Oryzias latipes: one gene and its partner. The main gene of each other region encodes a partner of the protein of the gene in region 2 in a complex. Links are inferred from orthologs where the notes say so. Each region holds a gene or a part of one and is shown on either strand. Other genes may lie near its edges.

What was found.
Region 1: the proteins of receptor tyrosine-protein kinase erbB-2 (region 2) and tyrosine-protein phosphatase non-receptor type 18 are in contact, whole or in part, in a crystal structure (PDB 4NND), measured with the Homo sapiens proteins. The link is inferred for Oryzias latipes from reciprocal best matches to the Homo sapiens genes ERBB2 and PTPN18. Residues at the interface, in NP_004439.2 of Homo sapiens: Leu1109, Gln1110, Arg1111, Tyr1112, Ser1113, Glu1114; in NP_055184.2 of Homo sapiens: Arg61, Tyr62, Lys63, Asp64, Val65, Arg138, Asp197, Arg198, Ser230, Ala231, Gly232, Cys233, Gly234, Arg235, Arg268, Ala273, Gln276.

Annotation. Positions count from the first base shown.
Region 1 is NC_019865.2:32,123,758-32,127,509, forward strand, and holds the start of tyrosine-protein phosphatase non-receptor type 18, read right to left. Parts: upstream 2,547-3,752; 5' UTR 2,427-2,546; coding exon 2,355-2,426; intron 1-2,354. UniProt on the Homo sapiens protein: Differentially dephosphorylate autophosphorylated tyrosine kinases which are known to be overexpressed in tumor tissues.
Region 2 is NC_019877.2:7,422,652-7,426,306, reverse strand, and holds the start of receptor tyrosine-protein kinase erbB-2, read left to right. Parts: upstream 1-745; 5' UTR 746-975; coding exon 976-1,048; intron 1,049-3,655. UniProt on the Homo sapiens protein: Protein tyrosine kinase that is part of several cell surface receptor complexes, but that apparently needs a coreceptor for ligand binding. Essential component of a neuregulin-receptor complex, although neuregulins do not interact with it alone.

The DNA.
Region 1 (3,752 bases), on a different chromosome or scaffold from region 2:
GATCAACTGTGAACCAATGGTGAGTCAGAAAGTCTGAACTTCTCAAAATAGCAGCTCACTGAACTGTAGCCGCAACAGCTGTCTGCTTTTTTTCTGCACCTGAACTCTTCTTTTCATCATTTTTCCTGCACTTCCATCCAGGAGCAGACGTGTGTTTGATCAGTTCAAGTCTGAAACCGTGGAGCAGGAAAGAAGCGATCCTTTCGGGACGTGGTTCTCAGAATTGTCATTTTTACAATCAAACGTGTTTTGAATATTGATTTACCTGGCTTATGTAAATGAATGCAGCTGTGTGAGTCTGTTGTTCAGCTACACTTTGGCAGAAGTCAACATAACTACCCCCTGCTGCAAAGCAGCTGGACGGATGTCCTTCTGCATCCCCTCCGATGTTGGTGTTTGAGATTTGCCTCATTCATTTAGTTTGAATGCAAATGTTCCACTGACATTTTATTCAAGAAAATTTTAATGTAGAGAGATTTCTTATTATCTATTTTGCAAATACCTGAAGTGAGACACAAAGTAAAACAGACTTTCTGTCTCCACTCTGAAGATATCTTATTTCCCTAATAAAATTCCACTTCTCCTTTGATCAGGCTTTGTTTGTCCTTCCGAGTTTTCCTCGTGAAAGGTGATGTCTACATCACCTGGTCATTACGGGAGATGGTCCGCATTTTTTTTAAAACCTGCTTATTCCCTTGTAGGGTCACATGGTTGCTGGAGCCTATCCCAACCACTGTTAGGTAAAGGTTGGGTCACCCTGGACAAGCCACCAGTCTGTTGCAGGGCCACAGAATCACACACACTCACATGAACACCTAAAAGACAACTTAGTCCCCAATTAACCCATGAAGCATGATTCTGGACTGAGGGACGAATATAAAATGAATGCACGGGAAGAACATAGAAAGGCACCACCTGGAATTTGAAACTGGGCCTTCTGGCTGCACCAAAGGGGAATCGAGCACGTTCCACATCTTCCACTGAACTGTCCCTTTATTTCACATCTGATCAGCTGAGATAAAAAGGTAAGGTAGAAAGCAGGATAACATCAGCACAGTCTGGGTGTTGGTAGTTCTGTTTAGTGCTTATGTTTGCCTTTGGGTGATTGACTCACTGCCCATTTTAACAAAACAACAGTAATGACACACTTGCTGGATTAAAACATTAAAACAAAATGGCATGTTTCAGGGTGGTCTTTCAGTCTGGCCTGTCTAAGGCACACCTGTGCAGTAATCATGCTGTCCAATCAGCATGTTGATATGGCACACCTGCGGGGTGGGATGGATTATCTCAGCGAGAGAGAAGTGCTCACATTTACAGATTTAGACACATTTGTGAACAATATCTGAGAGAAATGGTTGCGCTGTTTGCAGAAAATGTGTCAGATCTTTGAGTTCGTTTAATGATAAATGGAGCAAAAACAAAAATGTGGTGTTAATATTTTTTGTCCAGTGTAATTACAGCGTTTATGATTCAATACATTTTTAATGTAAACACATGGATTTTTGAAAACAGTAAAGTCCCATTGAAGCTGACCTTCCCATCCCAACATGAACCTCAAAAAGAGTTATCATGATATCCAGCAGAAGGTCTCATTTTTACAGAAGAAACAACAAGAGCTTTTATTGAAGTGGTTACTTGAAGGTTTGAATCTTCATTTTTACCTGACCTAAAAACACATCCCTGACTTTTACGTCCCCTTTGCTCACACACATTTCATTTCCATCATCTCATTCTTCTGTGTTCCTTCTTATTCCTCCGTTATATCGCTGCACAAACAAGCAGCTTCATGCTGCTCTCAGGTATCAGCATGACCCGACTGGGCGTCAAGTCTGTCAGAGATGGGGGGGCAAGGGTATCACATAGTGTGAGGTCAATCTAAAGACCTCTTTCACTCTAGTTTAAACCGACACAAATGCTTTAAAAAACATTCGTGTCATCTGTGCGTCGTTGGTTGAGCGTTAGGAGGCTTGTTAGAGACAGAACACAGGCTGATGGGAAACAGTAGCTCTTTCAGAGCTCACTGGCTGCAGCTCATTTGAATTAATGATTCAGAGACGACAAAGAAACAAACAACAAGGGAGCAGCCCTAACTGCAAGGCTCACTGTGTCCTCAACTGACAGCCGAAAGGCACACTAACCTCAACCACCATGACCAGAGAGTTACATGTCTGTTGTTTTATTTTTAGTTTAAACATGTGGTGTATTTGCTGTTTATCCTAAAGTTTTAGATAATTCTGATCTTAACAACAAATAAATGTCTCACCTACAGAAGCTCCAGCTCATTCTGAGAAACACTGACCATCAGGGCTACCTATTTACCTGTTCTCTGAGGGATTTAAGCAGACACTCACGTTGAACTCCTGCTCCAAACTTCTGGTATCCCGAGCCTTGAGGGCTGACAGCAGCGAAGGCAGTAGTTCCATGACGAGGAGATCCAACACCTGAGCGAAGCTCCAGCGCAGCAGGAATGCAAATGCAACCTCGGCACATCGACCTTTCACTGGTCTTAGTTCTCTTTCAGAGCTTCTCAGTTCTGCCTCTCAGTCTCACACCGTTGGTTAATGATTCAGTGTGAGATAAGGGCGCCTTGCTCTCTCAGTACAAAGAACAAGGAAGTGTGGGGAAACTTTGAATGAAATAACAGACAGTTCCGATGGCAAAAGAATGAATTTCTGTACCAAAGAAATAGGCAAACTGGAGGGCATTCAATGTTAAAAAGATGACTTATAAACCCCCTGCTATGTATTGCAGTTTGTGTCCGTGCAAAGGGACAGAGAATGGAGGAGAGGAAGAGTCTCCTGCAGAAGCCTAAAAAAAGACAAAACTACCCATAAGCAACTATAAAAAGAAGGCAGCAAGGGCACACATTAAGTAAAACACAAAAAAACTAAGATCCAAAAAAAAAGGAAAAAAAAAATTAAAAGTGAACTGATGCTAAATCACAGGTGTAAAATGACTGAACGTCAAGTATGAAGGAATGGAAAGTAAGACAAGCTCGCAGACATAACCGGACAAATGCAACCACACTGACTGCTCCTGTACTGCTCTGCTTGTCACACGTGCACACACAAAAAGACGTTTCTGTGTCAAAAGATTTGTACAACCAGAAAGACCTTCACAAACTGAAAGACATTCACAAACTGAAAGACGTTCACAGAGTGAAAGATTGTCACAGACTGAAAGATGTGCACAGACTGAAAGACGTTCATAAAGACGTTCATAGACTGCAAGACGTTCACAAAATGAAAGACGTTCAAAGACTGAAAGACGTTCATAAACTGAAAGATGTTCACAGACTGAAAGACATTCATAAATTGAAAGACGTGCACAGACTGAAAGACGTTCATAAAGACGTTCATAGACTGCAAGACGTTCACAAAATGAAAGACGTTAGAAGACTGAAAGACGTTCATAAACTGAAAGATGTTCACAGACTGAAAGACATTCATAAATTGAAAGACGTGCTTAAGCCAAAAGACGTTCATTGACAGAAACATTAACAGGCCAAAAGACATGAACAGCTTGAAAGACGATCACAGGTCATCATGTTTCGGTTTAGGGCTCCAGAATGCAGATGCAGGGTAAGGCTTGGATGCAAAAAGGGCAAGTTGAAGACTGTTTAATGACACTAAATCAAAAACCAAGGAGGAGCATCTGCAACACGAAACGAAAACCAAATAGCAGGCAAAACTCTCCAACACAGAGACTTAAAAGAAGGTGACTTAAATAGTCAGACCACTTCATTAACT
Region 2 (3,655 bases):
CAAAGCACAAGAAATGTTAGCCCCCAATAGACTGAAAACAAAAAGGATAACAAGCCTGAGAACATCTCACAGGATCAAGCATCTCCTTGAGATGCTACTGCTAAATCCTCCATAAACAACAATAATTACAACATAATCCAACATCTTGAAGTTTGTTGACAAAGACAGTCTGATCTAATTTTTTGGTATTTCTTGTATCATGGAAAATTTGGAGAAAAAAAAGTCCTGAAATATTGACTATTTCCCATATGTTATGATTTAAATTCAAATAAATTTAAAAATCTGCATTTGATACCTTCTGGGATTCTGGGGTGCCAGGAAGATCTACCATTGAAAATGCAAGGTGCCAAGTTGGTGAAGGTAGTAGTATTATGGTGTGGAAGTTTTTATTTTATTTTGTTGTTCCAACAAAAATGATTTTTAAACACTTCAGCACATTTTTATTTTAGAGAACTTTAAGTTCTTTTGGCAGTGTTCTAACATGATGCTCAAAGCTACAGCCTCATAAAGATGAGCGTTTAGAACACTTTTCAGATACATTTCAGTTGGAAAAAAAACATGTTTGAGTAGGATACATAAATTTGACCAATAAATAAATAAACATATATATATTTGTATGACAGAAGGAATCCATGCATTACAGTCTTTAATGTCACATTGATAAGCGTGTAGTGAGTTTGAGGTCTGCAGACAGAAATCTGTGATTGTGGGCGGAGTCAGAGTGCCACTCCTCGCGCAGGCCTTCACGGGAGCGCGCTTGTCACACTGTTACTACCAACAGTCCGAGTTCGGAAGTCTCCGTGGATAGGAAGAAGGGCAGCAATTTCACTAAGGGAGTCGAGATTAAAGCTGCTATTATTTTAAGGTCTAATATTTTAAGAAGGAAAAGACCTATTGTGTTTTTTTTGTCGGCTACAACGAATATTAGACAGACCTAACTCTGGAATATGGACTAAACGCGCCGGGTGCGAGCAGATGGAAGCCGCGAGAAGTTTGGTGTTTATCGGAGCCGTTCTGCTCGGAGTGCCGGGCGTTTTGGGCGGAGAAGGTGGGTGACTTTTGTCGTCTTTTGCGCTCTCACGGTTTGGGAACGCGGACATACTAGACCCCGTTCGAGTTGTGTTCGTGTGGACGTGAAGTGTGAAGTCGACGCGGGTTCCTGCATTCCTCGTACGTGATTTCGTCCTCCCTGCGGAGATTCATGGGAGTTATGGAGCGCAGATAAGGACAAAATTCCCACCTGTCAAAAAGTAGCTTCGCTAAAAGCTTTCAGTTTGAATTTCAATTACAAACTTACACTAAATTGAATAAAGAGAGTTAAAGCCACATAGTTGGGCAATAAACTCGAGAACTGGTGTTGAGATGCAGCAGAGCAGTGTTGGTAAACAACAAACAAACAAACAAACAAAAGCTCTGTGTGCAGAAGATCATCATGACTATGTCAATTATTCACTTCTGGCTCCTAAGGGGACATTGTCTGATAGAGGGCCACTTATCACACTTGGAGCTTGGAGTGCATGCCAGTAAAGTAAGAGCTAACTAACTGAAAGTGCAAATAAGAGCAAATTTGCAAAATGCAAATCAAGATTTCTTTTGTTTAAAGCCAAACCTGAGGAGTTTTTGGATTTCTTCATGTTGCAGAAAGTAGCACCGCTCTAAACTATTTGTTTCATTGTTTTTCACATTTCATATACCAATTATATAAAGTCGAAGAAAAGGAGTCAGATTTGAAAAACTCCAATATCATTTTTTATTTCTGCAAGAAAACCACAGTTTTCATGATTATTATTATGAACTAGTTTAATATCTGTTCTAGGAGGATTTAGCAATATCAATAAACATGTAAAACCTTTGCACAGACTGAGACTATGTGCAGACTTTATTAAATTGCCAGTTTTTGGGGTTAAAAACAACAAAAAGAGCCATGAATTTTTTTTTTTGGACTTTGATTACCAATTTCCAGCTCAATTAAGTTGAAAGACGAAATCCTTAGAGCACAAACAATACTCCTGTTTTATTAGCTGCCCCCGAAGCACTACCACTAATCGGACACACGCAGGAACAAAGCCAGTAGTCACAGGTGAAGTCATTTCTGAACGCGACAGCATTGTTGGGGGGAACAGGTTGGTGCACTTTAGTCTGCAGTGTTGATCTCTGAAGCATCGGACCTGTGCCGGAGTGCTCTGACTGGTTCCCAGAGTTAAGCAACATGTTATGCCCAAGTGTTGACTTCCAGCCTTCTTACTTTCATTTGTTATGTCACTCACACGTGTGCACAGCCCCTCTATGCAGGATCCTTGGTGTGAGGCGATTGCCTCAGTGGACGCACAGTTCACGCCCTTGTCATATTTTAGCGCACCTCAAGGCAAAGTCTATTTGAATTGACGCTAGTTGCAGGTTAACTCTGCCCGTCTAGACTGTTAGTGACCTGACCCACTCTGACTGAGATCAGGATGGTCGTTCTCTAAAAAGGCTCCGCTCACCCTCATGTTTTTCAGAGGAACGTCCGTTTTTTGGCAATAAAAAACTTTTAATTCAACCAATCAAGCATCTTATTGTTTTAATATTATTTTGCATCTTAACCTGGGCATTTAACACTAAGACACTATCATTTTTTTCATGTAAACCTTTTAAAGGCTGTGTTTGAAGATCAATTTGTTTCAATTAAAAAGACAATTCAAAAATATGAAATTCCTCGATTTAATTCTTTTTATAAGAATGTATCACAAATTATCTGGAAAAATGTATCAAATTTATTCGTTTCTATTGTGAGATTTCACAATATTATGATCAAAGGTTTTACTTTTGGTCACTTCATCACTAAACAACTTATTTTAAAACAAAAATTTGACCAGTAAAATGACATTTAATCAATTGTAATGAATCCTATCAAAATTTAGAATTTCTTATCAAAGACTTTACCAATAATCACACTAAAGTTCTCACTTCAGCTCAGGTTATATCTAAAATGCTTTTTTACTTGGAGGGAGATTTGTCTATATTATATGTTGTCATTATTTGTATAAAATGCTCAAATTGCCCTTACCCTACATAAAATGTTTGCATGTCAGTGTTATTTTATTGCATGTATGCAAAATGTGCGTGTGTGTGTTTTTTTTTTAAAGATTTTGTGCATGAATGGTTTCCCATAAGCTCAACTCTCATGTTCAGACCCGGCATTGGAGCAGCTAAATTTAAAAAGAGGACTGTGATGCGTTCACTAATAATAGTCAGTGGTGTGGATGCTTCATAAATATCTTGAAGGCTTGAAGCTCTTGGGTCTCTCCTTGTTGTCTTCATATAGATCCAAAGGTTAAAAAATATCATATTTATATGACTTTGATGCACATTTTTATGCCTTCAGTTTCCCAAAATATTGTCGGTCTGTAGGAATTTATTTGTTCTTTTGACCTGGAACTGAATTTCTATGATACACAGTACTCAGAAATCTGTCAAATTGTTTTAGCTCAATGTTGGTAAACTACATTGACTGTAGGTCTGCATGATATGAGGAAAACTTGCAATATTAGTATTCAATATTGTGATGACGATATAACTTGCGATATTTGAACAAATAGTAAAACTAGCAAAAACGTAATTCCCACTTCACTGCAGTTTAATCTAAATAAGAGTCAACATATCTTAAATTATACTC